Saccharomyces cerevisiae S288C: one gene and its partners. The gene in region 1 interacts genetically with each later gene. Each region holds a gene or a part of one and is shown in the gene's direction. Other genes may lie near its edges. The genes, in order: CUE3, FPR4, UTR2 and PAU10.

Region 1 (4,608 bases):
CTACGAAAAGGCATTATCCCTCTTCGGCCAATTATGTGAAAAGGCTGAAGTGAGGAATTACGGTTATTTAATTGAAACGCACTTAAGCTTCATTGGTGATTCCAAGAATTTAACGTTGGCAGAAAGTTTCTTTGACAAAATTATCAACGATGAAATGCCATACAAGATTATTTTACAAGTCTCTACAGTGAACTCTTTTTTGCAGAATATATGGAAAGCACAGAACGATTTTGATCATGTTTATAGAATATGGGAAAAGGCTGTAAAATTTTATGGTAACACTGTTAATCCTGGAATTTTGTCCTCACTAAACAACACTTTTTTCACAATATTCTTCGAAAACTATATTAATGACAATATCAATGGTTTCCGTAAGCTTCAAGAAATCATAACGTTTTACAGTGGGGTCAAAAAAATTGATGAACCATTTTTTAACGTTATGTTAACTAGAGCATCTATCTGGCACGAACGCAGCATAATCGATTTTATCGATAAAAACTATACTTTGTACCATATTCCAAGAACTATTATATCATATAGAATACTACTGAAATCATTGGGAAGCATAGACAACACGAATAATGAAGAGATTCTGGATAGATGGCTGGAGTTGGTCAAGAAACTGAATGAATTGGGCCAACAATATATAGCCAATGCTGATCTGTCCGCTTTGAGGGATGCCACTGTCGTATGGTCACAATCAAAGAGGGATGAAAAGGTCTTTTCTGCAAAAGCTAAAGGAACACCAGCAACGACTACGACCACAGAAGACGACATAAAAGTTCCGAAGCCATTGGAAAATTTGAAAAATGAGGATTCTACTTCGAATTCAGAAGACAGAATAGAGCTGTACTTGAAAATATTAAAAAGATATACGCCCTACTTTCGCGCTACCAAGCAAGTATATAGGTATACCACTGGATGCGCAGAGTCATACCCAATATTAAATGAGTATCTGAGCGGTTATTCTGACTTGAGTGCCGAGGACATTCCTGTTCCTCAACTACATAGCTTTATTGCTAAGGAGCAATAGTACTAGCGCATTCATTCTCCCCATCTCAATTTATGCATGCTTGTAAATAAACATTTAAACGTATAATATATAAGATCGAATCTTCTATGATCAAGAAATGTGTATATTTTTTTCCCTCATGTAATCAGCGATTTTTTCCCTCTAGAAAAATAAAAATGAAAAGGATAGGCATAAGACTATATAAAAGCGGTCTATAATTATCATTAACATCATCCAGGAAATTTGCACCAGCAAACAACAACAAATATTTAAGTACATAGTATGGGGCTTTGCGGAAGTAAAACCCAACCAATGCCTTCACAAACTACGACGGTGGCAACTAAAGCAAGAACAAAACCAATTAATCGTGATACAGTCAAGTCAAAGCAAGAACTTCGACATAAAGAGAAGAAAGATAAAAAGAAGAAGACACAACTAAAGAGTACAACTGTCCCGGTTGTGCAAAGGAAAGAAGGCAGCAAATTAACTGATACAAGTGATCCGAGCAAAAATAAAGTTAGCCCAAAGGAGGCCGCAAGGTTAGCTGCTGAGAAGAGATTTCAAGAGACGAATGAAAAGTACAATAAGGGCGAGTTAGGCAAAAAGCTAGCTCAAGAGCGTGCCAAGTCTCATAAGACTCGCTTAATGGAAGAGGCCGAGAAAAAGCATGCTGAGAGGGAAAGGGAAAACATGATTTATGACTGAGAGAACGACGGCAGTAATATTGTAATGAATCAATATATGCAATTGTACAAGAATTTTTTTGTTGGCCTTCCATTCTCCTCTTGGCTTTGTAACGTTTATATACCTGAATATCTGCCAATGGATTTTGCGCGGCCATAGAAAAAATGAAAATATAAAACACTAGTTCTCATAAATGAGAGACATTCGAGTTAACTATTGAATCTTGGAAATTTTTATAGGATAGAATCACTAAGAATAATGTTATCAAGGTACAACCGCGTTATTGAAATAAATGGGGGTAATGCAGATATTTCTCTGCCCATTGTCAAATTTCCACCGTTTAAACTCAGAGCTCAATTAATTGAAAAGGACCCCGTAGTATGGCTGCATCTAATAGAAACCTATGTAACGTATTTTGAGTATTTGATGCAAGGTGCTAACGTTGAATTATTAGATGAATCTACACTTGATCATCTTCGTTTATTTTTGAGAACTTACTTGCATGAAATTGCTGATGAGGAAGGAAAGTTATTAAGTCTCGGTATCAACCATGATGTGTCTGAACAGTTATATTTACTAAAAGGCTGGATATTTTCATTGATCAAGAAATGCGGGTTATTACATCTTCAGATTTTTGGTGACTCCCTGTGGAATTTGATCAAAGTATATGTTAGACGTAATCCAGATTCTATTCGTGGTTTGATCGATGGCTCATTGAAACCACGGATCAACACGCAACGTGTACAATTGGACAAATCGTACCAAGTTCAACAGCATTTGAAGCAGTTAATAGAATCTGGAAAATTTAAAAGAATAGATTTAAGGTGCGTTGAAGATCTGCTGTCTGCCAAATCCATGCAGCCAAATAAGTTTGCGGAGAACTTCTTTACGGCAAATTGGATTGAAATTTTAGAGGCATTATGGGCAAAGGGACAGGGCCGGGGTCATAAAGAGGCTAGAGAATTGATCATTATCAGTTTATTTTCTGTTTCTGCTGATCGTTTACTAAAAATAACTAAAGAATTAGGCATAAGCAATTTTGAAACTTTGGCGTTATATCCTCTTTTAGGAACAATGCTCATAAATGAAGGAGTCCACAAAAGGCTTCCTGATTTGAAGAGCAAGTTACTATTTCTGAATTTAGGGGGGTTGTCAATGGACGAAGGAGACCATATGAGCTATCCAACATCATCAGGTACTGAAGTTAATGAAGAACAACTGTCCGCGTTGATGGAATTGTTCCCCCAGTTTTCTAAATATCAATTATCTCAAACGTTGCTTGCCTATGATAATAACATTGAATTAGTAACGAATAAAATATTTGAGGATCCTACCATTATCGAAGCATTCTCCAGAGAACCTGCGGAGGAAGAAGTAGAGCCGGTGTCAGATGGTGATAATGCATCCTTTACTGAAGAACTGAGTATATTGGATAGAGGAGATAGCTCAAAAAATAAAGAGCTAGACAAAAAGATTATCTCGGAGGGTGTTCCGGATGAATTAAGAAATAAAACTTTGACAAGAGCATTGAAACTTTTATACGAGGCTGATGAAGATGAAAGGGATGACACTTATGATGAAGCCGATGTGAACCGGTCCGATCCTTCGAAAAGAATTGGACTTCAAGAAGACGAAGAAAGCTATGATACAAAAGATGATTCTAATGAAGTGCGACAAGATCATAACTATCATATTGTTGAAGCTTACTTGTGGAATCTATTGAAAGAGGATCCGAAATTATTTGAGAGATCAAAAAGAGGTACAAAAGTCAGGAAAACTATGAAAGAAATGACTTCATGGTCGGATGAAAAAATCGAAGGTTGGTGTCGGATGTTAGAAAGATCTCCTACCCGAGCAAGACTTTTAGAAAAGAAGTTTATGTTCAAAGGAAATAGCAAAACAGGGAAAACGTCTTATGTTCATAATCGTGATAGCCAAAATGATGGAAATGTCGTCAAAGAACAAGCCAAACAAAAAAAATCTGAAAATATTAAGAAACATGAACCTCAATCTACTGAACAGAAGAAAAGACAGCATGCTAAGAATGAAAAAAGGAAAGGGGCTAGAGCTAACCATAACCGTAAGAAGGGGCACGATAAAAAATTGGCTCGTGCGGGAAATAACGCTATTTGATAAAATGCATCAGCATACAAGATAGACAAGCGTATGTAAGTTTACTAGACGGTATACAATTATGTAACGTATTATAAGTTATTCAGCGTCGCGTTCAGGAAGTGCTTTTTTTAATAATTTTTCCCGCCGACTAGTAAAACTTTGCCTTCAATTAGCGTCCTTTACTATTAAATTTTGCTTTTCTTACTGGCTTTAGAAGCAGCTACCTTTCCCTCCAATTTATTCCAAAGCTCATCTGCGTCTTCTTCAAGTTCTGTAACCTTCCTTTTTTGCTTCCCTTTGGCAGCTTTCGCACTTGGACTTAGTGGCATCTCGATTTCAACGTCATCCAGCATAACAATAAAATTTATACGGGACCCAACATAAACCTTCACCAGCATTTTGTTAGTTTTTATATCGAAGATCCGAACATACCTATCTAAACCACCTTGTAAAAGATATTTGCCGTCATGTACATGAATATAGGTTGACGAACCAGTGATATCATCTCTACCCACCTTGCCCAACATTCTTCCATTACCATCGAATTTAAAAACATTCTTTTTGTAGTCAGTAGTAATCACATTCAGTTCATTAAAGGTTTCAGATTGAAAATTCCCCAACGAAGAGACAACATTTTCTCCCTTGGCATCAAAAACTTCCATCTGAGATAATGGTTCACGGTTAGGTAATAAATCTATCTGAGCGAACGGTTTTCTGCCATGTTGTGTGCTGTATTTGGTGAGGTGGGACCAACGGGTTATGGCTGCAAACTGGTAGTTCAGCTTACCCTTTTCAGT
Region 2 (3,788 bases), on another chromosome or scaffold:
GTTGATCAAAAGTCAATAGATAATTTTCAAGCAAAATCTCATTTAGGTTTGACTACTTTCTTGAACTTGGAAGAGAAGCAAATATATTCAACGAAATGACTGCCCAACAAGTATGTGTAAAGATGAGTAAATTGAAGGATGTGATGGTTATGGAGATGGCACACGTGCCTAGAGGAAAATAGTTACCCAAGAACAAAAGCAGGAAGGGAGCTAACCTTTTAAATATGAACTGGACAAAACTGGACAAAATGAAAATAACGATTTTAGTAAAAATGAAAATATAGCATCAAATGACTGAGAAACATAGTAACAATAACTCATATTATAGCTAATCTGAGTAAACTTCTTCCTACGCTAAGAATTTTTTTGAGGATAGTACCAAACCTTGTGCTGAATCAGCACACGCCATGCCCACCATCAATTGTGCAAGAAAAAAGTAAACGAGTAGTATACTAACTATATATGTGATTTACATCACGATATGTCAATTATAGGCCCCAAAGTGGTATCCTTCCGAAGACGTTGCTGCCCCAAAGAAAACCAGAAAGGCTGTTCGCCCACAAAAGTTGCGTGCCTCTCTAGTTCCAGGCACTGTTTTGATCTTGCTAGCTGGCCGTTTCAGAGGTAAGAGAGTTGTCTACTTGAAACATCTAGAAGACAACACTCTATTGGTCACTGGTCCATTCAAGGTCAATGGTGTTCCATTGAGAAGAGTCAACGCTCGTTATGTCATTGCTACCTCTACCAAAGTCTCCGTGGAAGGTGTCAACGTTGAAAAATTCAACGTTGAATACTTTGCCAAGGAAAAATTGACCAAGAAGGAAAAGAAGGAAGCTAACTTGTTCCCAGAACAACAAACTAAGGAAATCAAGACTGAACGTGTTGAAGATCAAAAGGTTGTTGACAAGGCTTTGTTGGCTGAAATCAAGAAGACCCCATTGTTGAAGCAATATTTGTCCGCTTCTTTCTCTTTGAAGAACGGTGACAAGCCACACCTATTGAAATTCTAAATTGAACTGAAAAAATTATAAATGATTTAAAATAGAATTTCAAAACAAGGAGAATTGATAGAGAATGCGTTGATCTGAAAATACTGTTTGACAATAACGGAAAGGTAAGTGGATATGTAATCTAAGTTTAATCCTCTTCTAATTCATTTTTCCTATCAACATTATCTGTGCTTTTCTATATCCTTCTTTTTGTATCTATAATTTTTTTTTTCTCTTACATAGCAAAATACAAAAAATCATAAATATTAATATCTAAGGGTTCAAGATCAGGTCATCGCCGTTCTGGGCCACTAGGCTATATCTATTCATTTACATTGGAAGCTGCATGGTCTACTCCAACCGCACTGAGGCAAAGTCTCTGTGGAGGAAATGCTGTCCTAGCGAGCCATTGCAATAGGTATAATCAGAGTCGTCCTCCCAATGTGTTAACTTCTCTCAAAACCACCATATAAATTCTGTAACCTGCCAGCGATAATGTTATATATGTAAAAGGTAAACATACAACCCAATTTGTCCATACTAAGTGGATGCTGGGGAAGCAACTACAGTGCAGATGCTAAAGTTTGCTGCGGCAAATAATCTCAACATTTTTGTGATTAAACCTGCCTCAGTGGGGTGTATGATTAGTGCGTTGATATTTAATACACGCGTAAAAGTTAAGTCTGTTGTACGTTTTATTTCGAGTGACGAAAGAACTACGAATAACTTCCTGCATACTGTTGCCTTTTTCTGTATTTACGTATACTTTTATATCAAATAGCTTGGCCAAAAGAAAGTAGCATTGTGTATCAAGTCATAATTCTAATTCTTAGTTTAACTTCAGCAAAAATAATATTCTTCGTCAGACATTCTCATACAATCATTAACCCATATGAACGTTAAATTTCTCAATTTCTTGCCTTCGATGCCCTATGTATATTTTTATCTCAAACCCGAGGCAGTGAAAATTTTAGCTGGTGCATCGAAAAGAGAAGGGCATTGAAAATTTTACAGTGTTAAAAGAAGTGCTTTTCATGTTAGAATGATAAGAAAAAAGAAAAAGACAACAAAATATACGTCTCTACCATGTCTGATATGCTTCCATTGGCTACGTATAGCCTGAATGTTGAACCATACTCCCCAACCCCAGCTCTGAACTTCAAAATTCCGGTTACCATTAGAATCACAATGGCGGCCATCGACCCTGAGCCCTTTGACGATGACAAAAAGCCATCTACTTTAAGAATAATCAAAAGGAATCCTGAACTCACTCGCGGTGAGTACTACAACCAAGATAACAATGACGGCCTCGAAGAGGATGAAAGTGAAAGTGAACAAGAAGCAGATGTACCAAAAAGGAGTGTCAAATCAAAAAAAGGTAAGGCAGTCGAGCAAAGTGAATCAGAAGACTCTGAAGATGAAAACGAAATCGACGATGAATTCGAAGAATGCGTTCTTTTAACCTTATCTCCAAAAGGCCAATATCAACAAGCTTTGGATATTACCATTGCACCAGAGGAAGACGTTCAATTCGTCGTTACCGGTTCATACACTATCTCTCTAACCGGTAACTACGTCAAACATCCATTCGACAATTCTTCAGATTCAGACGAAGATGAAGAAGACTATTACAGTGACGAAGAATCTTCCAATGGAGAAGAAGAAGAAGAAGAAGAAGAAGAGGACGATGAGGAACTAAGTTCCGGTGATGACGATCTTGATGATTTAGTAGATGCTAGTGACATCGAAAGTCGTCTTGATGAATTAGTCAAAAAGGACGAAAAGAAGAAAAACAACAAGAAGGACAGTAAAAGGAAACATGAGGAAGATGAGGAAGAAAGTGCTAAACCTGCCGAGAAAAAACAAACGACCAAGAAAGACAAGAAAGCAGAGAAAGTTAAAGACTCGGAAGAGAGCAAACCAAAGCCAAAGACGAAGCTACTGGAAGGCGGTATTATCATTGAAGACCGCGTCACAGGAAAAGGCCCACATGCCAAAAAGGGTACCAGAGTTGGAATGAGATATGTTGGTAAGTTGAAGAACGGGAAAGTTTTTGACAAGAATACAAAGGGTAAGCCTTTTGTTTTTAAGTTGGGCCAAGGCGAAGTAATTAAAGGATGGGACATCGGTGTTGCTGGTATGGCGGTCGGTGGTGAGCGTAGAATTGTCATTCCTGCTCCATATGCCTACGGTAAACAAGCTTTGCCCGGTATTCCTGCTAACTCTGAATTGACATTTGATGTTAAATTGGTCTCCATGAAATAGGGTCCTTAATGCATACGTATTGATATATGTATCTATAATACTATATACAATTATCTATACTTCCATTACTAATATTATCTTTCAATTTTACATGTTTTTTTCTGCCATAAAAAAGCAATATTTTTTTGCGAGCTATTTAGTGATATAGCCGCCCAGCTACTTGTCGATGCATATATTGGCTGAGAGTACTAATACAATTATCGGAAGACCTCAAAGTAAAATATAGAAGCTTTGAGTAAAAGGAGCTCGAGTTTTAAAAATGACTTCGTAATATGTAAAGTTTATGTCATATATACTTACACGATAAATAGACCATTGATCGTTAGAGACGAGCGCATTGTTTTGTTGAATCCCTTTCAACAGCGCGACAAAAGTTAATCGAGAACAATAAGATGTTGCATTCAAGGGTTAGTCAAACATATCAGAAGGCCGTTTTCTAAATCACCTCAAGAACCTACCACACAGATACATCTTGAAGAGGTGGAGTACCAAAGGGAATATTTTGTACGAGCAAGTTATAGTAAGACACTTCAG
Region 3 (4,050 bases), on another chromosome or scaffold:
CGTTTGAGAAAGGATCTTATAAATGCTAAGGTTGACTTGCAGGTTGAAAACCTGATAATAATCTGCAATATTAATGATATTTCCACTGTATTTCTCATGAGAGAAGTGGTGGAATGGATCTTACGCAATTTCCATTCAATAACTGTATATGTACAAGATATTTTTAAAAAGTCAACTCAGTTTGCTGTTGGTGACCTCTGCAAAGACAGCAATTGCAGTAAAAACAGAGTAAAGTATTGGTCAAAAGAATTTGTTAAAAAACACGATTCATTCTTTGACTTGATGATTACACTAGGGGGTGATGGAACTGTCCTTTTTGCTTCATCTATATTCACGAAAGATGTTCCGCCGATTGTTCCATTTGCCCTTGGATCATTAGGATTTCTAACAAATTTTGAATTTCAAAATTTCAAAGAAACGTTGAAACATATCTTAACAGATGAGGTTCGTATTAATTTACGAATGAGGTTGCAATGCAAACTCTACCGTAGAAATAAACCAGAAATTGATGCCGCAACTGGGAGAAAAATATGTTACATCGATTTCATCTCCGAACATCACGTATTGAACGAAGTAACCATAGATAGAGGTCCAGCTCCTTGTTTATCCCTATTAGAACTCTATGGAAACGACTCACTAATGACTAAGGTTCAGGGAGATGGATTGATTGTTGCCACGCCTACGGGATCCACGGCATACTCATTGAGTGCAGGAGGCTCTTTAATATCGCCAAGCGTAAATGCCATAGCGGTGACGCCTATATGTCCTCATACTTTGAGCTTTAGGCCTATAATTTTACCAGATAGCATGGAATTAAAAGTTAGAGTAGATATGAACTCAAGAGGGACGTCGTGGGTGAATTTTGACGGAAAAGATAGAGTTGAATTGAAACAGGGTGACTATGTTGTGATAACTGCAAGCCCCTATTCGGTACCGACTATCGAGTCATCTGCCAGTGAATTTTTTGAAAGTATCAGTAAAAATCTTAATTGGAATGACCGCGAAGAGCAGAAGCCATTTGCACATATTCTCTCGCCAAAAAATCAAGAAAAATATAGATTAGACTCATCGAAAAATGGAAACGACACCATAAGTAATCCCCTCGAGAGTTCATGCATAAGCTCAGATGCACAAGATGAGGAGAGGAAATCCGTAACGGAAACAGAAACAGAAATAGTTGTTGAACGGACTCGTCAGGCTCATTTTGCAATCTAACGATTTCCCACATCCTGCGTTTCCGTAGTCAAGGGTTCATAATGGATGATGAGCCTGTAAACAGCTTTGTATTTACCTCTTTTACTTCAAGAATGCTCTTGCGTCGTTTGCAGTGTCGAAGAAGATCCAGTAGAGCTATACAAAATGGAGAAATGAAACAGTTGAACCAGAGCGCCGCATTTGGCAGGTAGTTTCGCTAAATTTCCTCATGCGCGTTTGTAATTATGCTAGTTAACCATATGATAAGGTTGCCTAACTTGCAGTCACCGGAAGGTTATTTCCGGAATGGTGCAGAATAATTTTTAAAATAGTAGCATATATTTCGTTCCAATTCCCAAATAGGGAATTATAATTATGACAGATAAATTCCCGATTAGGAAGAAGCGCGAAAATTCTTGAAAAACTTTTTTCAACCTCGAAGAAAATCGTCGTCCTTCGAAGATTTAGTGGGAATCTTCAAGGTGGATAGTTTCCAAATTAAAACTGCAGAAGAGGCTTTTAAAACATGCCTGAGGTATAAAAAGAACAACATTCCTGGTGATTATGGTTTCTGTTGGACCCTGTTCCCTTTGTAAAACTTCTATTTATTGTCCTGCAAATAAGCTAATTATATAATTAATAATGGCAATCGTTAATAGTTGGCTAATTTGTTTAGTCAGTATTTTTTCCTTCGTGGTACGTGTAGAGGCCGCTACATTTTGCAATGCAACTCAAGCATGTCCCGAAGATAAACCATGTTGCTCACAATATGGTGAATGTGGTACTGGTCAATATTGTCTGAACAACTGTGATGTAAGATATTCGTTTAGTCATGATTCATGTATGCCTGTACCTATCTGCAAGAGTTCATCCACTAAATTCAAAGATTATTCCTCTAAGTTGGGGAATGCTAACACTTTCTTAGGAAATGTTAGTGAGGCTGATTGGTTGTATACTGGTGACGTTTTGGATTATGATGATGAAGAAAGTTTAATTTTGGCGATGCCCAAGAACAGTGGTGGTACCGTTCTTTCCTCCACGAGGGCTGTTTGGTATGGTAAGGTCAGTGCTAGAATAAAGACGTCACATCTTGCTGGTGTGGTCACTGGGTTCATTCTGTATTCCGGCGCAGGTGATGAACTTGATTACGAATTCGTCGGTGCTGATCTAGAAACTGCTCAAACCAATTTCTATTGGGAAAGTGTTTTGAACTACACGAATTCTGCCAATATTTCCACTACTGATACATTTGAAAACTACCATACTTACGAATTAGATTGGCACGAAGATTATGTAACATGGTCCATCGATGGTGTCGTCGGTAGAACCTTGTACAAGAACGAAACTTATAACGCCACCACCCAAAAATATCAATACCCACAAACCCCATCCAAGGTGGATATTTCCATTTGGCCAGGTGGTAATTCTACCAACGCTCCAGGAACCATTGCATGGTCTGGTGGTGAAATTAATTGGGACGCATCCGATATCAGCAACCCAGGATATTATTATGCTATTGTCAATGAAGTTAATATCACATGTTATGATCCACCAAGCGATACCAAGAAGAATGGTACTTCTGCTTATGTGTATACTTCGTCCAGTGAATTTTTGGCCAAAGACATTGCTATTACCGATGATGAGGTCATGATGGACAGTGATGAGGGATCTGGCTTGGACCCACATAAGGGAGCTACCACATCTTCCACCCAAAAGAGTTCTTCCTCAACTGCAACCTCTTCCTCCAAAACGTCATCCGATCACAGCAGTTCAACTAAGAAGAGTAGTAAGACTAGTTCCACCGCTTCATCATCATCATCATCATCTTCTTCTTCTTCTTCTTCTTCCTCTACTGCTACTAAGAACGGAGATAAAGTCGTATCCTCCGTATCCTCTTCCGTCACTTCCCAAACTCAAACAACATCTTCTGTAAGCGGAAGCGCCTCCAGCAGTACAAGCTCAATGAGCGGTAATAACGCAGGTGCCAACGTAGCGGCAAACTGGCGTTTGACTGTTTTATGTGTCATCCTAGGTTATGTCTTATAGGAGGATCTGCATCTAAGAACAAATAGGCTACACAGGACTCTCAAAAAAAAATGTATTAATAAATAAAAGAACTTAAATATAGACTTTTTATTCGCATGCATATAAAAATAATTAATTAATAAATAACTGTAAAAAACTAGAATAATAAAAGTAATAAATATCTCCTCCGACGACATAGCCTATTTGGCAGCCTTTGTCATATAAGTAATTAAATCGTTTCTGTCCTTTTCCTTCTTCAACCCGGCAAACGCCATCTTGGTACCAGGAATATATTTCTTTGGGTTCGTCAAGTACTCGGACATACTATCCTCATCCCATTTGACGTTCTTGTTGATGTTTGCATCTGTGTAAGAATAACCCTTTACCTGACCTGAATGTCTACCAAAAATACCATGTAAATTAGGTCCAACTTTGTTAGGACCACCCTCTTCTATTGTATGACACTGCTGACACCTCGTTTTAAACAATGTAGCACCCTTTTTTGCAGAGCCTGGTTTGAATCCCGTACTTTCTTTAGCCATGTTTTGTTTATGATGTAATGTAGTTTACTGAAGTTTACTTAAAGTAATGTGAATAAATGCTTGTATGTGATCTTCTTGTATAAGTCTTTGATTTTGTTTCAACCTCAACAAAAAGAGAACTATTCTGATCTAATCTTCTCGAGCTTCACAACACGATATATATATATGTTGTGTGCCTTTGTCTTTGCCCCTTGCGGCCACTTATAGTAGTTGGAACTTGAATAAATGCCCTCGCTATTATCGCTATTAGCTTTGAGAAGGTGGGAAAAGACCCCTCGGCGGGGGACTG
Region 4 (3,225 bases), on another chromosome or scaffold:
AAGAAACAATTTCTTCTCTCTCAGAAAATTAACGTATTATCGATTCTGTCGTTTTACACACTTTACTGTTAATTTTCTTTTCTGCATCGCGTTACCTACTCTTTACCATAATAGTCAAAATGTACGATCGCATGCATGTTCGCTGCGGCACCCAAAATAGATAGAGTGGATTACAATTTAGGCTATAGAACATAAACAAAAAGTATATGCAAATAAAAGAGGCTTGAACAAATCAAGAAAGAAGGAGGGCAAGAAAGTCTTTTGTGTGAATTTTTACAGTCCATTTATTGTAACTTAGAAATCAAATTGTGCGACTGGCCATTGTTGCTGTATTTAATAATGTCGTATAACACTCTAAGATTCCGTAATGATTCAAAAGCAGAAATTCGTTGGCTCTAGAGTCTTAAACAACTTACGCAACTACATATATTCATGATTCAAACAGAATGTACCTTTAAAGGTTAGAAATACGACCTCTAATCTGCTTTAAGCAGATGATGCAAGTGCCTTCATGTGGTTAATATATGTGCTATCGTATTAAAAAAAGTTTCCCTTCTCACGTGTCAATAAAGCATCACGAAAACATTCAATACTAGTGTTTTTCGCACAGAAACTTGCCAAATAGGCACCTTTATGCAGCACAATAATTAAAAATGCCCAACGTGACACATTCCAAGGTAATTTTGAAAAATCGTAAGCGCCATTCGTGAAACAGAATAGTGTTACACCCGTGAGAGTAATAGCGAAGTCAACTTAAGCAGATATTGCTACTTTAATCCGCTTATGCTGAATCCATATTCATCTTTTATCAGCTTTGGACGAGAAATTAGTTGTCTTTTAGGCAATGTTCGTGAGTAAGTTGGAGAAAAGATCTGTTTCAAAAGAGTCAACTTGAAGTAATGTCTCAAAAAAAAAAATGATAGTATTGCTTGCTCAAGTGCTAATTATATCTTTTCCTTGACAAAAGTACAAGTTATGCGTCTCCATCGGAAGTATTTTAAGTAGAAATATTAGGTACCAAAAGAAGTAAAAAATTAAAGCTATTCTTATTGGGTCACACTGACTTAAAAATTAAAGGAAAATATTTAATTGCATGTTATTTTGTTTAACTACTATCTTACTTCCACTGGTCCACCGGACCCTCAGGCTTCCTTGCCTTGTGGAACCAGTTTTTTTCTATCGAGAGGAAATTCTCCAGTCTAGTGATATTCCATATGAGAATGGAACACAGGTAAGCAAGGCAGTGGTGCTGATTAATGCGTTGAGAGTGCCAACAGAAAGAACAGAAGCTTGTTTGGGCAGGATATGTACAAGAATGAGGAATTTTTCTTTAACAGGGCTAATTTTGTAGTTTTCTTTTGAGCGATACTTAAATAGCATTTTAGATTCAGAAAAAATGCGTTGCCTAGTTATTGAGCATTAAACTGCGCCCATAAATTCAGGAGGCACTACCAACCCCTGCCACAGAATATTTACTAGGTATAAGTGTTTAACAGTTGCAAGAACCAAGCACATAGATGAAATTATTCAACAGAAGATTCAAAACGTAAAATAAAAAATATTAGCGCCATCCACTGGCCTCTGTACTCTTTTCTTTTCTTTCTTTTTTTTTTTTAACAAGAAAAATGGTACCCGGGTATCGAAGATGTTTCATTACACAAAACCTTGGCACATGATTCAATTCACCCTAACATCAATTAACTCTATTCGAGAAACATGTGCAGCTAACTGTAGCTACCTCGTTTATATATCGCATTCATTCTTGATTGTGGTATCTAATTTCGAATGCCTTAGTGATAGTGAACGGCATCGTAAGCTTCCACGGGTAGGTACGACTCTCAGTACATCATTGCTATTTCACTTCAGCTTGGGAAAAGAAACTGTAACATTATCCCGCGGCAATCGTTTAGAGCATACTAATATAGGCTAAGACAATAGCTTCCGAACGAGGGTCCTTGAAAAAGAAATATGACAGGCACGTAAAAGGGTTCTTCGAAGGCACATGGCGCCCCTATAACGTCGATCTTACATTGCACGCATACGAATACACATTGGCGCCGCAAAACATATCTTCATATACGAAGTTTGTGACGAATTCACGAATCGTTCAAGGACAGGTGCATTTCTATAGTTACGGTGGATAAGGTGTGTTAGATGAAATATGTAGGATCTTGAGGTGAGAAAAGAGTGTCAGTCAGTGGCTCGTTTGGGCAGCACCAGCTGGTGAAGGAATTTGTATAAATAGAGCAGACTTGACCGCCTGTCTTTGTGAATATGCAGTCATTTTTTTCTTCCTAGTAGGGCTTATATCAGCACTAAAAAACAAAACAAATACAATGGTCAAATTAACTTCAATCGCCGCTGGTGTCGCTGCCATCGCTGCTACTGCTTCCGCAACCACCACTCTAGCTCAATCTGACGAAAGAGTCAACTTGGTTGAATTGGGTGTCTACGTCTCTGATATCAGAGCTCACTTGGCCCAATACTACATGTTCCAAGCCGCCCACCCAACGGAAACCTACCCAGTTGAAGTTGCTGAAGCCGTTTTCAACTACGGTGACTTCACCACCATGTTGACTGGTATTGCCCCAGACCAAGTGACCAGAATGATCACCGGTGTTCCATGGTACTCCAGCAGATTAAAGCCAGCCATCTCCAGTGCTCTATCCAAGGTCGGTATCTACACTATCGCAAACTAGAGACAAACGCCAATTTTACGAACGGGTTTCCATAGACATTGAAAATGAACGAACAAAATAAAATAAATAAAAAACTACTTTTTTTTGATGATATAAATACCGTAGATTATATAAATGTATATTAATATTATAAACCTATTTGATCAATGACAGTGTTCGTGAAGCATTTTATGAATACGATGAACATAAGAAAGAAACTTTTACACTATTGTAGAAAAAGCGTGGACGGTAATAAAGCTAACAGAGTATTTCCAATAAACAATAATGAAATTGGAAACGTATGACTTCGCAGCACTTTGTCTTTCCATAAAAATGTGTCGCTGCTTCTTTTTTCATTTTTTGGCGCGTCGCGTCGGGCCGTATAGAATATGCGTCACTTCTAAGAACAAGACTGCAGATCAGGGCAGTGCGAGTTACAAGTCATGGTACCAAACTCTCATTTGGAGATCCTCATTTTTTGACACCTAAAATATTAAGATTTATGGTTTGGGATAGTTTTTTGTAACTGTAACTAGAAATAAAGCTG

Evidence for each region.
Region 2: mutations in CUE3 (region 1) and FPR4 together harm fitness more than expected from each alone (negative genetic interaction), as found in Saccharomyces cerevisiae (2 studies listed by BioGRID).
Region 3: mutations in CUE3 (region 1) and UTR2 together harm fitness more than expected from each alone (negative genetic interaction), as found in Saccharomyces cerevisiae (2 studies listed by BioGRID).
Region 4: mutations in CUE3 (region 1) and PAU10 together harm fitness more than expected from each alone (negative genetic interaction), as found in Saccharomyces cerevisiae (2 studies listed by BioGRID).

The regions. Positions count from the first base shown.
Region 1 is NC_001139.9:300,758-305,365, reverse strand, and holds CUE3 (Cue3p), read left to right. Parts: upstream 1-1,954; coding exon 1,955-3,829; downstream 3,830-4,608. Other genes in the region: RMD9 (Rmd9p), read left to right, coding at 1-1,033; YGL108C (uncharacterized protein), read left to right, coding at 1,295-1,717; ribosome biosynthesis protein NSA1, read right to left, coding at 3,997-4,608. UniProt on the Saccharomyces cerevisiae protein: Involved in activation of the ribosome quality control (RQC) pathway, a pathway that degrades nascent peptide chains during problematic translation.
Region 2 is NC_001144.5:1,028,759-1,032,546, forward strand, and holds FPR4 (peptidylprolyl isomerase FPR4), read left to right. Parts: upstream 1-2,075; coding exon 2,076-3,254; downstream 3,255-3,788. Other genes in the region: 60S ribosomal protein eL6 RPL6B, read left to right, coding at 96-110, 495-1,010. UniProt on the Saccharomyces cerevisiae protein: PPIase that acts as a histone chaperone. Histone proline isomerase that increases the rate of cis-trans isomerization at 'Pro-17' (H3P16), 'Pro-31' (H3P30) and 'Pro-39 (H3P38) on the histone H3 N-terminal tail.
Region 3 is NC_001137.3:76,217-80,266, forward strand, and holds UTR2 (chitin transglycosylase UTR2), read left to right. Parts: upstream 1-1,836; coding exon 1,837-3,240; downstream 3,241-4,050. Other genes in the region: YEF1 (NADH/NAD(+) kinase), read left to right, coding at 1-1,215; CYC7 (cytochrome c), read right to left, coding at 3,420-3,761. UniProt on the Saccharomyces cerevisiae protein: Dual chitinase/transglycosylase that plays a role in cell wall architecture. Chitinase and transglycosylase activities are coupled. Required for the polysaccharide cross-linking at the septa and the cell wall.
Region 4 is NC_001136.10:1,520,913-1,524,137, forward strand, and holds PAU10 (seripauperin PAU10), read left to right. Parts: upstream 1-2,336; coding exon 2,337-2,699; downstream 2,700-3,225.